Linked DNA regions of Elephas maximus indicus. The protein of the gene in region 1 purifies or fractionates together with the protein of each later gene. This does not show direct contact. Links are inferred from orthologs where the notes say so. Each region holds a gene or a part of one and is shown on either strand. Other genes may lie near its edges.

Region 1 (7,546 bases):
TCGTGGGGAGGATTTTGGTGCGTGTGACAAGTATAGTGTAGAGCAGTCCTCAAATGCCAGGAGTTCACAGACATTCTCGCTTTCCACATAAGGCACTGCTGACCTCAGGGCCTCCACAGCTCTGCGGGCCGACCGTCTGTCCCCTTTCCCCCCTGCTGGGCCCTGCTTTACAACATTCACATACTGCCACCTACTGCTGATCACAGGGTGCAGGTTGAGCTAGCTTTCCTTCTGGGTCATCCAAGTGGTATGGTGACCCCTGAGAATGGTTGTGATGCTAATAATAAATTCTGTATATGGAGGGCCTAGCTCTGTGCCACATGGCCAGCTCCAACTCATGTACACCACCCCTCAACATGAGGACCCGTGTACAACCCTCTGCCCTCCACAGGGACCCATGTAAAACCCCCTACCAAAGTGGCACATGTACAACACCCTCTCCCAGGGACGTGCATACACCCCCCTCACTGGGACCTGTATACAATACCACCACCCTGTCCCTCCACGGTGTTGTCCAGGAATTCCCAGACCCTACTTGGTTGAGCACTGCGTTCAGCGGCATTAACTAGCCCTTCAGGGGCCTTGCAGGCACAAACCTGGGATAAAAGCCATAGGCACGGTGAGGTTTGCAGAGTCCTGTGCCAAGGGGGACAGGGACTGTCCGTATAACTAGAGATGTTTTAAAACCCTTGAGCCAGCCAAGTCTTCATTTCAGAAGGACTCCTCATAACTGCTTCTTTCTTCAACCCTTCCACCTGGGAAAGCTGAGTGTGCAGGCAGCACAATTTCATACCAGACGTTTTCTGCCTCTGTTTTGCATACTTCTCGAAGGAAGTATGGAGCAGTCAGGCATGGAAAAATTGTACCCCATGTCCATCTGGGTTGTGCACAACAAGCCAGGTCCTCAGATTACAGCTTGGCTGTCACACAGCTTGCTGGATTCTGAGCAGGGCTCAAATGGCCTACTGCCACCAGTCTCTCAGCAGCTCTTAATGAAGGGCAGCTGGAGCTTGGGTGGAGCAGCAGGTCTATCCTAGAGGTGAAAATGGGGACAGGGATAGGAATGTCCTAGAGATAAAAAAAACAAGGCATTTCGTTGTGAGAGCAGTGAAAGGGGCCTGGGAGAGGGAAGTTGGGGCAGACATATTAATTGATTTAGTTCATAGAAATCTGTCGTGGGTTAAAGCAACATTTAACCTACAAATGTTTTCCCAAGTTAGTCTATACTATATGCTGCCAGTGTGGAGTAGGTGGGGGTTCAAACCCCAACTCCAGAGTACAGATTATTGGCGGAATGAGGATGATAATCCCTCCCTCCCGAGGTGTCTGAGGATTAAGTAGAGAGGTAACCCCTGGGTAATAATTCCCTTCTTCCTTCTCTGCTGTGGTGAAGGCTACACAGCGCTGGTGGAGCCATGTGACATTAACCACCACCGTCGCTGACTTCTCCTACCCTGGGCACTGTGCCGTGTCCTGGTACGTGTAGTCCTCACAGCAGCTGCTCCCACTTCTCAGATGGGAAAAGCTTAAATAACTTTAATAAACTTGCCCAAAGTCTCAGAACTAGTACAAAGGTAGAACCCAAGACAACTCCACAGACTATATTCTTTTTTTAAATTTTTATTGTGCTTTAAGTGAAAGGTTACAAAATCAAGTCAGACTCTCATACAAAAAGTTATAAACACCTTGCCGTATACTCCTAATTGCTCTCCCCCTAATGAGACAGCACACGCCTTCCCTCCACTCTCTTTTTGTGTCCATTCGGCCAGCTTCTGCCCATCCCTACCCTCTCATTTCCCCTTCAGAACAGGAGATGCCAACATAGTCTCATGTGTCTACTTGATCCAAGAAGCTCATTCTTCACCAGTATCATTGTCTATCCCATAGTCCAGTCCAATCCCTGTCTGAAGAGTTAGCTTCAAGAATGGTTCCTGTCTTGGGCTAACAGAATGTCTGGGAACCATGACCTCCGGGGTCCTTCTAGTCTCAGACCATTAAGTCTGGTCTTTTTATGAGAATTTGAGGTCTGCATCCCACTGCTGTCCTACTCCCTCAGAGGTTCTTTGTGTTCCCTGTCAGTGCAGTCATCAGTTGTAGCCGGGCACCATCTAGTTCTTCTGGTCTCAGGCTGATGTAGTCTCTTGGGCTCATAATCATGCTGTGTCTTTGGTGTTCTTCATGCTCCTTTGCTCCAAGTGGGTTGAGACCAATTGATGCATCTTAGATGGCCACTTGCTAGCATTTAAGACCTCCAGACACCACTCTCCAAAGTGGGATACAGAATGTTTTCTTAATAGATGATATTATGCCAATTGACTTAGATGTCCCCTGAAACCATGGTCCCCAAACCCCGACCCCTGCTACGCTGGCCTTCGAAGTGCTCAATTTATTCAGGAAACTGCTTTTGGTTTAGTCCAGTTGTGCTGACCTCTCCTGTATTGTGTGTTGTCTTTCCCTTCACCTAAAATAGTTCTTATCTACTCTATAATTAGTGAAAACTCCTCTCCCAACCATAAAAGAATATTCTCTTCTGTTTAAACTATTTCTCGAGTTCTTAGTGGTATGGACCATATTCTTAAACATCACTCTAACTTCACAGATAGATACCACTTCAAAGTTTACTAAAAAGTGGTTCCATTTATGGCATTTCGTTTGCTCACAGCTGTGTGCTGTGCAGCAAGCAAGGCAGATAGGGCCCTGGCTTCATAAGGGTACACATCTATTAAGCAGCAGAGCCAGGGTTTGTACTTTCCATGTAGGCTCAATGAATTTGCCTGACAGACCGTCGTAGCTATCGCACGTTTTTGCTCTTTTTACATGTTCCGTTTTCCTGATCATAAACTTGTTATTCAACCTTAGTTTTCTAACACCCACAGGTTTCTCAATAAAGCAGGAAACTTTATCAGCAACTTATTCAGTGCAGGACACAGGCCTTCAAATATCTCATTGAGTGTCACAACTGCCGATAGAGTTTTACGAGCAAGATGCCTGTGAGTGGGGTGAGGGTGGGAAGAAAGAGTTTTGGGGATATAAAGGTGTACTGTTGGATGTTGCCTTGTCCTGGGGGACAGATGAACAGGGTATGTTGACTGGGAACAGGTGACTGGCTACTTAATATTTTTTCACGATGTTTATCTCTGCAAAGGGAGTTAGCTTGCACAGTGAATGAGAGTATGGCCTTTGGAATTGCTCACTTAGATTTTTACTACCAGTCCCCCTTACTACTAGTTGCATGGCCTCAGATAAGTTACCTAATACCTTTGCCAAGTTGCCTCATTTGGAAAGTGGGGTCAACGGCCAACAGTAGCCCCTACGACATGAGGTGGATGTGAGGAGTAAATGTTAAAGTGTGTAAGTACTGTTCTGCGTGCCTAGCGTATAGTAATTAGTAAGTATTGATTTTGCTTTAAAAAGGGGCCGTGAATGTTCCAAATGGATGGGAGGGGAAATAGACTGCAACGAGAATCCACATTTCCTTAAAGCCTGCCTGCCTTTGCGCCCCTCAACCACCGTGTCCCATAAACATGCAAAACAGTGAAATTCCCAGAATCCTAACCGTGAGTTCCCTGAGTTCAAACCGCCACTTTTTCCCTTTATCTCCTACGATGGCTGCACTTTTATTCGCGTAATTAACTTTACAAATGCAGGAATCGCCCCGTTTTGTTCCGCACACAGGGGGACAGTGGCACGAATTCGCAGGCCTTCGGAGGAGCGGCGGGGCGGCCCAGGGAGGAGACCCCGAGCAGAGATGTAGGGGCGCGGCGGGCGGGGCGGCCAGATGGTGGGCAGCGGCGCCCGGTCCGTCCGGAGCCTGGCTCCTTCCTCTCCGTGGGGACCAGGGCCATAGGCACCCATGACGCCCACCTGGAATGGCATAATCTTGAAGTCCCACTTCTAGAAGGTCTCGCAGCGGCGCGTGGCCACATAGTTCAACCAGCTGGCGCGGAAGATCCGCAGGTGAGGGTCCCAGGCACGACGCATTGCTAACTGGCTGAAGCGCCGTCGGGCGTTCCCGCAGCTGCAAAGAGCAAAGCGACGACAGAAGCCCAGCAGGTCGGCTCGGCAAACAGCCACGCTCCTGGGCTTTCCCAGCCGGACAATCAAGAACCAGCACTGATGCCCAGCTACTGAGGCGGGAGCCATGTTTACAAAGGGTCTTGGGCGCGCGGTGACGTCACTTCCGTCGCTCTTGGCTGCGATGGGTCAGGATGCTTCGGCGCTTCTGATAGGCTAGGCCCACTACATCCCAGGGTGCTTTGCGCCCCCGCTTCCTTTCTGATCGGCCGTTCCGCTTTGAGGAGGTAGGTGGGCTGTAGCGCGTCGCCATCGGGCCCCATCCGATTCCATCCACTGCCATCGGTGTGGGGCCGCTGCTGCTGTGGCCATGGAGGGCCAGACCAAGTGCTCCTGTCTGCCGCAGAGGGCGTCGGGCCGCGGCCTGGCCTTCGGAGGCACCGCCGGGAGCCCGGGGAGGAGACCCCGGCCGAGACCTGGGGGTGCGGCGGGCGGGGCGGCCAGGTGGTGGGCAGCGGCGTCCGGTCCGGCAGGAGCCCGGCCCTTAACCTGGTCCCTCCTTCTCCGTGGGGCCCAGGGCCATAGGCAGCCATGGCGCCCAGCCGGAATGGCATGATCTTGAAGCCTCACTTCCACAAGGACTGGCAGCGGCGTGTGGCCACGTGGTTCAACCAGCCAGCGCGGAAGATCCGCAGGTGAGGGTCCCAGGCGCACGAGCACCGGGGGCACACGGTCACGTGATGACATTCTCCGGAATCGCTGTACTGCTTTGATGAAAAGTCTTTTCCACCTGATGATCGTGGACTTTTTATTCAGAGTTCTGCTGAGCCCTGCTTGAGCTTTTGGGGGTTTTGTCTTAAGGTGGAAGTACTAACACTGCAGTAATGTGGTTGATGGTAAGCAGGAGTTGGGAAGGAACTGATTGGAGTTAATAGCAGGCTTCGACCGAGGGGAGGGCCTCCCTGAGGTGAAGGTAACTGTTGCCTGCTTTCTCTCTCACCAGACGCAAGGCCCGACAAGCCAAAGCACGCCGCATCGCTCCTCGCCCTGCATCCGGACCTATCCGGCCCATAGTTCGGTGTCCCACAGTCCGTTATCACACCAAAGTCCGAGCTGGCAGGGGTTTCAGTTTGGAAGAGCTGAGGGTGAGTGTCCACAAAATTGTATCATTATGAAGTTATCTGTGATGGTAGCTCGTTCACGTGATGACAGTCTCCGGAATCGCTGTACTGCTTTGATGAAAGCTCATTTGAACCCTTTTCCATCTGACGACCGAGCGCTACTGTGCGGGCCTGGAGGCCTGAGAGCCCGTGGAGCTTCACCTTCTGTTTCTGGAGCAGGTGGCTGGTATCCACAAAAAGGTGGCCCGGACCATTGGGATCTCCGTGGACCCGCGGAGGCGGAATAAGTCCACCGAGTCCCTTCAAGCCAACGTGCAGCGGCTGAAGGAGTACCGCTCCAAGCTCATCCTCTTCCCCCGGAAGCCCTCCGCCCCCAAGAAGGGAGACAGCTCTGTGAGTATCCTGTACTGGCACCACTGGGGGGTGGGTAGTATAGCAAGAGGGTGTTACAGGATGCTCAGGGGGCCTGGTCAGGGCCAGTAGAGAGATCCAAATCAAATAAAAAGAAATCTGTGTTTTGTCTGGCTGGGATGAGAAGAAAATGTGTTTTTTTTTACCTTCCAAACTTTAGGCATTTGGGCCTCATATGTGGGTGGTCAAGAGTTGAGTGACTTGTGAAGTTGGCCCCGTAGAATTCTCATTTTCAGCAGTACAACTGCCCAGGCCAACTGCCCTTCTGACTGATCGTTTTCCATTTCTTGGTCACAGTAAAAGCTGTTTGTCTTGGAGTAGTTTGCTTATTTCAGTGGAAGCTCGTGTCAGTCTAAAATGCTTTATGTGGGAAACATATTCTTAGACAGGCCTTGTAGGATAAGGTTAATAACATTTATTGTATGGGAGTTACTGTTATTTCTGAAGTTTCTAGCATTGGGTTGGGGAAAGGCTTTGAGCTCAAGTAGATACTTGGCTCTCACTTGCACCCCAGTTCACATGCCAGGCCGCTGGTTTGCAGGGTGAGATGAGTGTATCTTATCTATTGTGGGTTAAAACGGATATCACACAGCTCACATACCATGTTGACTTGTAGTGGGAGCCTGGATTCCTCAGGGAGACTGAGCCCCAGAATCTTTTTTGTCTTAAATAAACAGGCTGAGGAACTCAAACTGGCCACTCAGCTGACTGGACCGGTGATGCCCATACGAAATGTAAGTGGACAGATTTGTTTGTTCAGTCAGTCCTGCTGCTGTATGTGTAGCAATGCTTGCCTCCAGCTAGGACACTCCAAACAGATCTGAGATGGTTTCTTTAGCTTGTGGTCAGAGTTTCTGTTTTTAATTCTTGATTCTCTTAAAAGCAGTTAGTAAACAGAAACCCACAAATGCAGGGAAACCGTTAGATCCTGTGGAGGGTCATTGTCAGCCCTTTTCTTGGCAGCCTCAGTGTCACCTCGTTGTTGCTTAGGTCCCCCGTGGTGTCCCTCACCGGACTCCAGCAAGCTTGGCCCTTACTTGTTGGGGTGCGGTGGCTCAGCTGATGGCTCCAACTCCACTCTCCTTCAGGTCTACAAGAAGGAGAAAGCCCGGGCCATCACACAGGAAGAGAAAGACTTCAAGGCATTTGCCAGTCTCCGCATGGCCCGCGCCAACGCCCGGCTCTTTGGGATCCGTGCAAAGAGGGCCAAGGAGGCTGCAGAGCAGGATGTGGAGAAGAAAAAGTAAACCTCTGTCAGAGACCTTTAATAAAAGCAGTGAAACACGTGGTGTCTTCAGTGTGTGAGTGGCCAGCTGGGCACTGGGCCTTGAACAGTGCTTCAGCACCATGGGTCCAGGCTGCGCAGGAGATGAAGGGCTTTGGTACAGCCTGGAGATGTGCAGAACGGCAGCTTGCTTTATGGAGAGGTCATTAAGTAACATCACTTTTTTAACCAGAGTAATTTCTAATCTACTTGGCATCCAAGGACTTGGGGTGACCTCAAGGCTGCTGGTATACTGGAGCCACTGGGGGTTGTGTGGGTGGCCAGCTTGTGTCCCAGGCAGGATCACACAATGTGTGAGGTGCTCAGATACTACCTGTCATTGTTCCTCCATCTCAGTAGTGTGGTCACTATGGTCCTAGGAAATGACGTGGGGAACCACAAGCCTGGTGGTGTGAACCTGTCAGGTGGTAGTACAGTAAGTCCCATGGACCCGGCACCTGTCATCTGAGCTGCCACCACCGATTCCCTAAACTCCTTTCTCATTTTGAAGCAAATTACAAGTGGCTTTATATCCTAAAAGAGGGCTGTTAATTACATCCACACAACCTAGGCTTGGCTCTCAGAGCTTTGGGGAGCAATTCCCAAACCTGAGCGGGGCCATTGCCATAGTCTGAATGGCCTCCTGGTGGTGCCGTTTTTCTTCTGGATTCCCTGTGAACTTCAGAGCCATGTTGGCATCAAGCACCCTGGGGAACTGCCTTGGGAAGGTCAAACT
Region 2 (7,480 bases), about 21 Mb from region 1:
TACCATTATTGTTCTTTCTAAACCTGTATATTCTTTTTCAATGTCTTAAACTGTGACAAATCTTAGTTGTTTGAAAAGAGATTTAATTTTTGGCAAAACAGTCTGAAGTCACTTGAACCCAAAATAAATAAGGTAGAAAAATGGCCAAGTTACATTTCTGATTTTTAAAAAATGAGATGCAGCTATTAAGTAACGAACTTGATGTAGATTGGCTTCAATGCCAGCAGCATTCCTGAAGAAAGAAACCTTGCTCTTGTGGTGACTTTCTGCCAGCAGGCATTTCTGTCCAAAGCTCTGCCACAGCACTCCTCCCTAGGGCCCCAGTCAGCCACAGGTGGCCTCTGCCACACCCAAGGAACTCCCCAAACCATGAGAGAAGTCCCAGGTGGATACCCTCATTTTTGTATGTCCTTTAAAACAAAAACTGAACACTCAATTCTTAGAATTTGGATGGCCCTTAAGGGTAACTTTTACAGGTCCTAAGTTTTCTTATGTAGGTTAAATGGATTCCTATGGGTAACTTTTACAACTGCTCTTAAGTAAGCAATATTTTTTTACATAGGCAGACATTCCTGTTGTAACCTTCCTCATACTACTGATTTAAATAGTAAATTCCTTTGGGTTACCTCATATTCTCAATTTATTCTCTCTGTAGATTTAGTTTTCCAATAAAAACAGAGCATCAAGAATCTCAAAGGATGACAACTGTGTGGACAAGGTGCATGGTTTATACCATTTACACCATTAAGACAGTATAAATGTGTAAGATCAGGAAGACGATGACTGCACACGGGACAACCGAAGAGAGGAGCCAAGTGTGGTCTGCGCGGTGGAGCAGAACGCTAATCTAGGAATGCTTTACTCCTGGGTCAACTAAAGACTTTGTGGATTTTAATTTTTTTTTACCCATATGCAGAGCTCATTTTAATAAAATAAGCCATAGGCCCTCACAGTTTCAAAAGAAAAATAAAACCGAGAACCATAAAACACAAAAAATTGTACAAATGGATTAAGACATTAGACAATTAGAGGTGGTTCTATTCCCGAGTCCAACACTCCACCAAAATTACTGGCACGTAGTTACTTAGCGTTGATTTTATTGAGAGGCAGGACCATTTTCTATGGTTGTAAAAAGAGATGCTGAAATACTCTTCTACAGAGGCAGACTGCTGCAAAACCTACAGATTAAGATTACATACAGTGGACCCAATGAATTTGTTTAGCACCGGCCTGTTTTAATTTCCTCATAAGCTTAACAGTTTTTCTTCCTAATAAAAAAAAGTTAATCTAGACTTTCTTCTCTCCAAAGTCACCCAAGTTAATACATCAGCTGCTGCACAGCACTATAGTAAGTTACTAAAATAAAAAAAAAACGCAAAAAGAGAAAACATAGGTTGTTCAACAGGAAGTTTTGAAAGATGCAAGACTTAAAAACAAAGTAAGTTTAAATACATGCCCTGTTGAATTTCTTTTTCCGCCCACAGGGACGCGGAATTTTAGCTTTCCTAATTGATCTAAACTCAAAGCAAGCATGAAAACACATATATGTGTATGTTTACTTAATGCCGATCTCAGACCTACAAGAAGTTAACTACTAACAGGCATAGATATTTATAAACCATCTGCACCGAGTGACCCAGGATTCAATTACAACATCAACCCTCATATTTCAGCGTATGGGCAAATTACCAGTCCAGTCAAGAATAAATTCATTCTGCTCTACTGGCGCTTTAGATCGAGTTGCACAATCCCAGGACAGAACTGCTTTCGCCCAGCCCTAGAGCATCAGGTACTAAGTGGTGTACAGTAAATTAACATCAAGACATTTTAAAGCGGGAGCCAAACTTAGGGGTTGCTTGAACTTAGCCCGTACTCGCGAATTCAGGAATTTGTCACTGTCACTTGAGATCAGAGTGAAATTAAGTTCCAATCCCTTTGAGATCTCTTAGCGCACAAAGTCAGGCTGCTATCACTCTAAGGAGCTATTTGGTGCGGAACTCGCGCGCGTCTTTTCCAGCCACCATGGGGCCGCACCCGCTGAGTCGCGCGAGGAGCCCCGGCGCGAGTTTGGGGGCTCAGCGGGGCCCAGCGGGGGCGGCGAGCGCGCGTCCCCCCGCCCGCTCAGGCGGCGTTGAGGCGCGAGCAGCTCAGCCAGCCTTGCAGAGGGAGCTCTCGGCAGCGCTGGGGCCCCTCTGCTCGCAGCCGCAGCAGCGCCGCCTGCGCCACTCGGCGGAGACGGAGACAAGCGGCGACGGCGTGCAGACTGGGAGCGACCGCCCAGCAGCCAAGCGGCGGGGGACGCACACAGGCGGCCCGGTAGGCTCCGGGGACCCGGCGGGCGGAAGGATGGGCAACCCGGAACGCGTCGGCCAGGGTCTGACACCCATACTGGACGGAGATCCGACTGCGCGCATGGTGGTAGCGGTCCGGACCCTTGGGCGAGGCGGTTGCGGAAGCCAGGGCGAAGAGGTCGCTTCTCGGTTGGGGCCACCCGTCGCGGGAGGGGCGGAGGACACAGGGCGGGCCGCGGCCGGGCAATCGGCCGGGCCAAGAGCCGGCCTCGAGGGCAGAGACAAAGGAAGGAAAATGGAGTCGCCGGGCGCGCGGGCCTCGGTCGCCGCCACCGCCCGAGGCCTATCGCGCCGCCAGGAGGGAGGCCCAGCGGGCGGGCGAGGGGGGGCAGGCCGGGCCGCGGCGACGGGCAATGGCGGCGGCCGCGCCGCAGCAGGGACGGTAGAGGGAGACAAACACCCCCCGGCGGCGGCGCTGGCGCCGGGCTGCAGCCAGCGCCGACCGGAGCGGCCCCATCGTGACACCTAGAGGCGGCCCGCGAAACCTCCTCCACCCCGGGCCCCCTTACCTCCGCGCCACACCCCCCGCGGCGCCCGCTCCGCCGCCGCTCCCCCGCTCCGGCCACCCGGCGTCCCCGGCCAGCTCCGCGCGTCTGCACCGGCCACCGCCACCGTCGCTGCCGCCAAAGAAGCAGCTCCGCGCACGGTTTAATCGCTCCACAGGCTCGGACACAAAATGGCGGCGGCGCGGTGAAGTGCGCCTGCGTCGGCGCTGCCGGGGCCGCGGGTGCTGATAAGGGAAGGGACGGGTGGGGGGGCCGGCCGGGCGGCGAGGGGAAGGCGGGGGAGGAAAGGTGAGGGGAGGGGTTGGCGCGGGGCAGCATGGGAGGCGGCCCCGGGCGCCAACTTTCAAAACCCGGCGCGATGGCGTCACGGGACGCGCCCGGAGTCGCGTCACGCCGCACGCGCCCTCCCGCGCCCTCGCCCGTCACGCGTGGGCCCTGTGGGCGTCGTGCCATCCGGGTCCTGCTGGGCGGGGCTTTTTGGGGCCCAGGCCGCAACTTTTGGGCTGTCCCGGGTCCCCGGCGCTCTTGACCTGGTTTCCTGGCTGCAGCCTCCAGCACCCGGAACCCCGGGAGATTTGCGGGGGCGGGGAAGGGAAAGCTGTAGGAAGCGCGCGCGAGGCCGAACCGTGAGGCTGAGGCGGCTCCTGGGCCCAGCCCCGCCCCAGTCCCCGCCTAGCCGGGCCGAACCCGGCCTCCGAACGCCGTGTCGTGGGCTGCCACGGAGAAAGGCTCAGCTTGTCCCAGCGCGCTCCCATCTCCCCAGCCTGGATCCAGCACCTGAAAACGGCGAAGGAGGGCTGTCCTTGCCCAGCGACATTTGGTTTACTTTTTCCGCCCTAGAGGAGGGCCTCCTGAAACCAGGTGCGAGAGAGGAGGGTGAAGACCTCCACTCGGTGACCCACAGCCCACCTCAGCCCAGAGAGGCCAGCTTAAGACCAGACTTGAGGATTTTACAAGACCAGAGCGGTCCGTCTTTTGCTGAAAGGATATTTTGTGTATTCGGTGCAGTGTAATTTTGTATTTTAAAACGTGGATTTCTGTCTTTGCCTATGAGCTTCTAAGTTGTCTGTGGGCGGAGTCCTTCAGCACTGAATAGTGTGGCCGCCTCCCCTTTCCCCAGCTTGCACTTGTGGACCTTAAGCGGCCAGCGAAAATGTTGACTGAGGACTGCCTGGAAGGTGTTCCGGTGTCTTCGTGAGAAGATCCCTTTAGTGCTTCTGAGAATCTGACTCAGGACTGTATTGTCAACCCCCTTACCTAGATATCACGGATAACAAATGGACTCAGCGTCAAGGGGGCAGCATTTGCTCCACTCAGTCGATTGTTCCGTTATGATAATGCCGGCCCAGTATTGACAAGTCCTCTGGTTTCTTTCAAGAGACCCAGGCATATGGTTTTTTAAATATAATTCTCCAGGTTTTCAGATGGTCATGGTGGTGCATTGGTTAAGCTCTGGGCTGCTACCGGAACTGCCAGCTGCTCTGCAGCAGAAAAGACCTGGCCTCTCCAGTAAAGACTTCACCTAGAAAACCCTTTGGGGCAGTTCTGCCCTGTCCTGTAGGGTGCTATGAATTGTAATCAGATCGATGGCAAACAACTAAAGTAGATGTTTTTAAACTACATGATATTAAAGCACACATCTGAGCTGTCAATTTCTGGTCTCTGACTTCAAGATCATCTCGGGCACTCCAGTATTTAGAGATAGGTTAATGGAGGACACAGAGTGATCAACCAGGAAGGTAGAAGGAAATCCATGATAGTGTTGAGTTGTGGAATCCAAAGGCAGAGAGGGTTTCAGGAAGGAGAGGAATGGTCAGTTGTGTTTAGTGTTACTGAGAGGTCTGGTAAACTTGGGCCAGAGATATGGCTAATGAATTGGTCACTTTGGAGGTCACTGGAGGATATTGATGGCCTTGGCTAGATTAGCTTTGGTAAATTGGAAGGTGGACCTGACTAAAGTGGGTTGAAAAGTGAATGGGAAAGTGAAGAAATAGAGACAGCACATATAAGCAACTTAAGACAAGTTTTTTTGTCAAAGGGAACAGAGAAATTTGGGGATAACTGTAGAAGGACATGGGCCAAGGGAGAGAATGCTTTAATAGATAGTAGAGTTCTAGAGTGTGATTGTGTGCTGTGGAGAGGGTGATGGTGATGGGTGATGCAGAAAAGAGAAGATTTGACAGTAGGAGTGAAATCCATGAAAGATATGAGCAAACAGGGTTCATAGCACCTGAAGAGGATTGACCTTGGATAGGAACAAGGATGCTTTTACCATGATAATAAGGTGACAAAAGTGAAGAGGCTTGCCAGTGCAGGGGAGAGGGAAAGCAAGTTTACTGTGTAAACCTAGCAGGACTGCCTTGGCATTGGGTACCGATTTGAGGTTTGTGATCATGAGTTTAAAGTTAAACCACTTGACCCAGTTGTGTGGTTTTCCTCCAGCAGCATTCAACTGCTTGAGAACAGGCATGAAGAAAAGAGATATGGTTTTTTAACACAAGTACAGTACCCAGGTACTTGCTTTATGCAATTAGATGCTCTTCTAGAAATGTGTCAAGTCTTTAGAAAATTAACATGTGACTCCTATCTTTCTAGAAACCAAATTATACTATTTGTCTTTTATGTTCACATTAAGACTTAACTATAATGAAAAGACAAACTTAGAGAAAAATTACCGGGTAACTCTGGGATATTTGCATTTTGCATTTCTTCACCCCCCCGCACCCCCACCCCAAATAGTTCCTGGTATAATTAGGAATAGCAAAGCTGACTTCCTCTAAATTGTTAGCTTCTTTTTTTTTTTTTTTTTATTAACTTTTATTGAGCTTCAAGTGAACGTTTACAAATCAAGTCAGTCTGTCACATATAAGTTCATATACATCTTACTCCTTACTCCCACTTGCTCTCCCCCTAATGAGTCAGCCTGTTAGCCTCTTTTGGGCATCATTAATAATCTATTCACTATCTTTTAGAACTTTATCTCAAACCATTATTATCTTCCTATCTTTAAGAGTAAGCTACATCCACATTGTATGTTAGTTTGTTGTAGACAGCATATAGTTGGGTCTTTTTTTTTTTTTTTAATCCACTGTCAATTTCTGTTTAATTGGTGAATTTGGGCTTTTTTATTTAGTGTAATTGTTGATATGTTAGAGCTTAAGTCTTCCATTTTGTTTTTTGTTTCCTGTTCCTTGTTTTCTGTTTTATTTTTCCTATCTTTCTGTGGGTTACTAAAACATTTTTTAGACTTCCATTTTAATTTACATATAGTGCTTGGAGTGCATCTCTTTGTATAATTACAGGAACATCTTCTAAACTTTTAGTGTGAGCAAATATAAGATGATGTATTCAGGGGGAAGAATGTCATCTGTATTTACAACTACATGACCTGTGAGTTACCAGTTAGAAGCAAGAAATGGGGTCCAGGTGGCCTTGGAGTCTGCTTTCTGAAGACAAAGACTCCATTGGCCACTGTGGCACAAGGATGAGAAAATGCTGAGGATCACTAGGAAGGAACCAAAGGAAATGCTTTCTTCTTGTAGGAAGTCATGGTGTGTCTTACTTCGTGGTATTAGCTACATGGGGATCTCTAGATGGGAAACTCCAGAGATCTGGTTACTTATTTAACTTAAATGTTTAATATTACCAGCTCTGGATGCTGGAGTCATTGTTCTGGATTCAGGTCCTGTCTTGGTGCCTTGTTAGCTTTGTGGTGTCAGGTGAATTATCAACTACCCAGCTGTAGGTTTCTCCTCTAAAAAAGCATGATAATTGTACAACTTCACGTAATGGTAAGGATTAAATGAGAAAATGCAAGTAAAGCTTTTGGCATAGTTCTAGGCACCAGTAATCATACAGTAATGTAAACTGTTATAATTTATTTTATTTTTGTGCTTCAATTACCTACTTTTCACTCCTAGCTCTGCCTTCTGATTGAACATAGGCTTTCTAGGTTTATTAGTAGAATCAGTTAAGTTACTGACTAGGGTTTCTCTGACCTGGTGCCTCTTCTTTCTGGGAAAGGCATACTTGGTGCTATGATTCTCAGAGATCTCTTGCCAAGATCTTCCTTGGCTCCCACTGTTGCCCTCTTTAAAGCTTGCAATAATTGTGATCATTTATATGTTTTGAACTGTTTAAGCAAGATAATTGATAAATGGAGGATGTGTTTATTTTCTACATAACAATGGGGTAAGGCCTAAAGTTAGACCTGAACGCTCCTGCTGCCTCTGTGCTTATTGGAGGACACGTGTAAGACGTGATCAATTCAGCAACCATTTATTGAGTACATGCTGTGTGCAGCTCCCTCTGCTAGGCATTGGGAATACAAAGAGGGCCCACGGTGTGTTTCCAGACCTTGAACTCAAAGTTTAACTGGTAAAACTGGTAGAAAAAAATGAGAAACCATTAATGTGATTGTTGTTATAATGGAAAGAAATACATTGTTGTGGACTCACAATGTGGACTCAAAAGTCATTCTCCATGGGTGTATCATTGAGCTGCATCTTAAAGGAGCGGAAGGCATTAACAAGGGAGGCAAAGGCATGTCAGGTGAAGGGTCAAAATCAAGGACATTAAAGTGCACAAGAGTTTTGGGAACAGCAAGTCACCCAACACCATTGG

Evidence for each region.
Region 2: the proteins of RPL13 (region 1) and CTCF purify together in Homo sapiens (affinity purification with mass spectrometry; 3 studies listed by BioGRID and IntAct, with this or other methods). This does not show direct contact. The link is inferred for Elephas maximus indicus from reciprocal best matches to the Homo sapiens genes RPL13 and CTCF.

Annotation. Positions count from the first base shown.
Region 1 is NC_064839.1:54,753,320-54,760,865, forward strand, and holds RPL13 (60S ribosomal protein L13), read left to right. Parts: upstream 1-4,196; 5' UTR 4,197-4,301; intron 4,302-4,591; 5' UTR 4,592-4,605; coding exon 4,606-4,709; intron 4,710-4,752; exon of another isoform or gene 4,753-4,827; intron 4,828-5,017; coding exon 5,018-5,159; intron 5,160-5,217; exon of another isoform or gene 5,218-5,302; intron 5,303-5,354; coding exon 5,355-5,528; intron 5,529-6,223; coding exon 6,224-6,280; intron 6,281-6,634; coding exon 6,635-6,793; 3' UTR 6,794-6,832; downstream 6,833-7,546. UniProt on the Homo sapiens protein: Component of the ribosome, a large ribonucleoprotein complex responsible for the synthesis of proteins in the cell.
Region 2 is NC_064839.1:34,059,356-34,066,835, reverse strand, and holds the start of CTCF (transcriptional repressor CTCF), read right to left. Parts: upstream 3,069-7,480; 5' UTR 2,861-3,068; intron 1,774-2,860; exon of another isoform or gene 1,690-1,773; intron 1-1,689.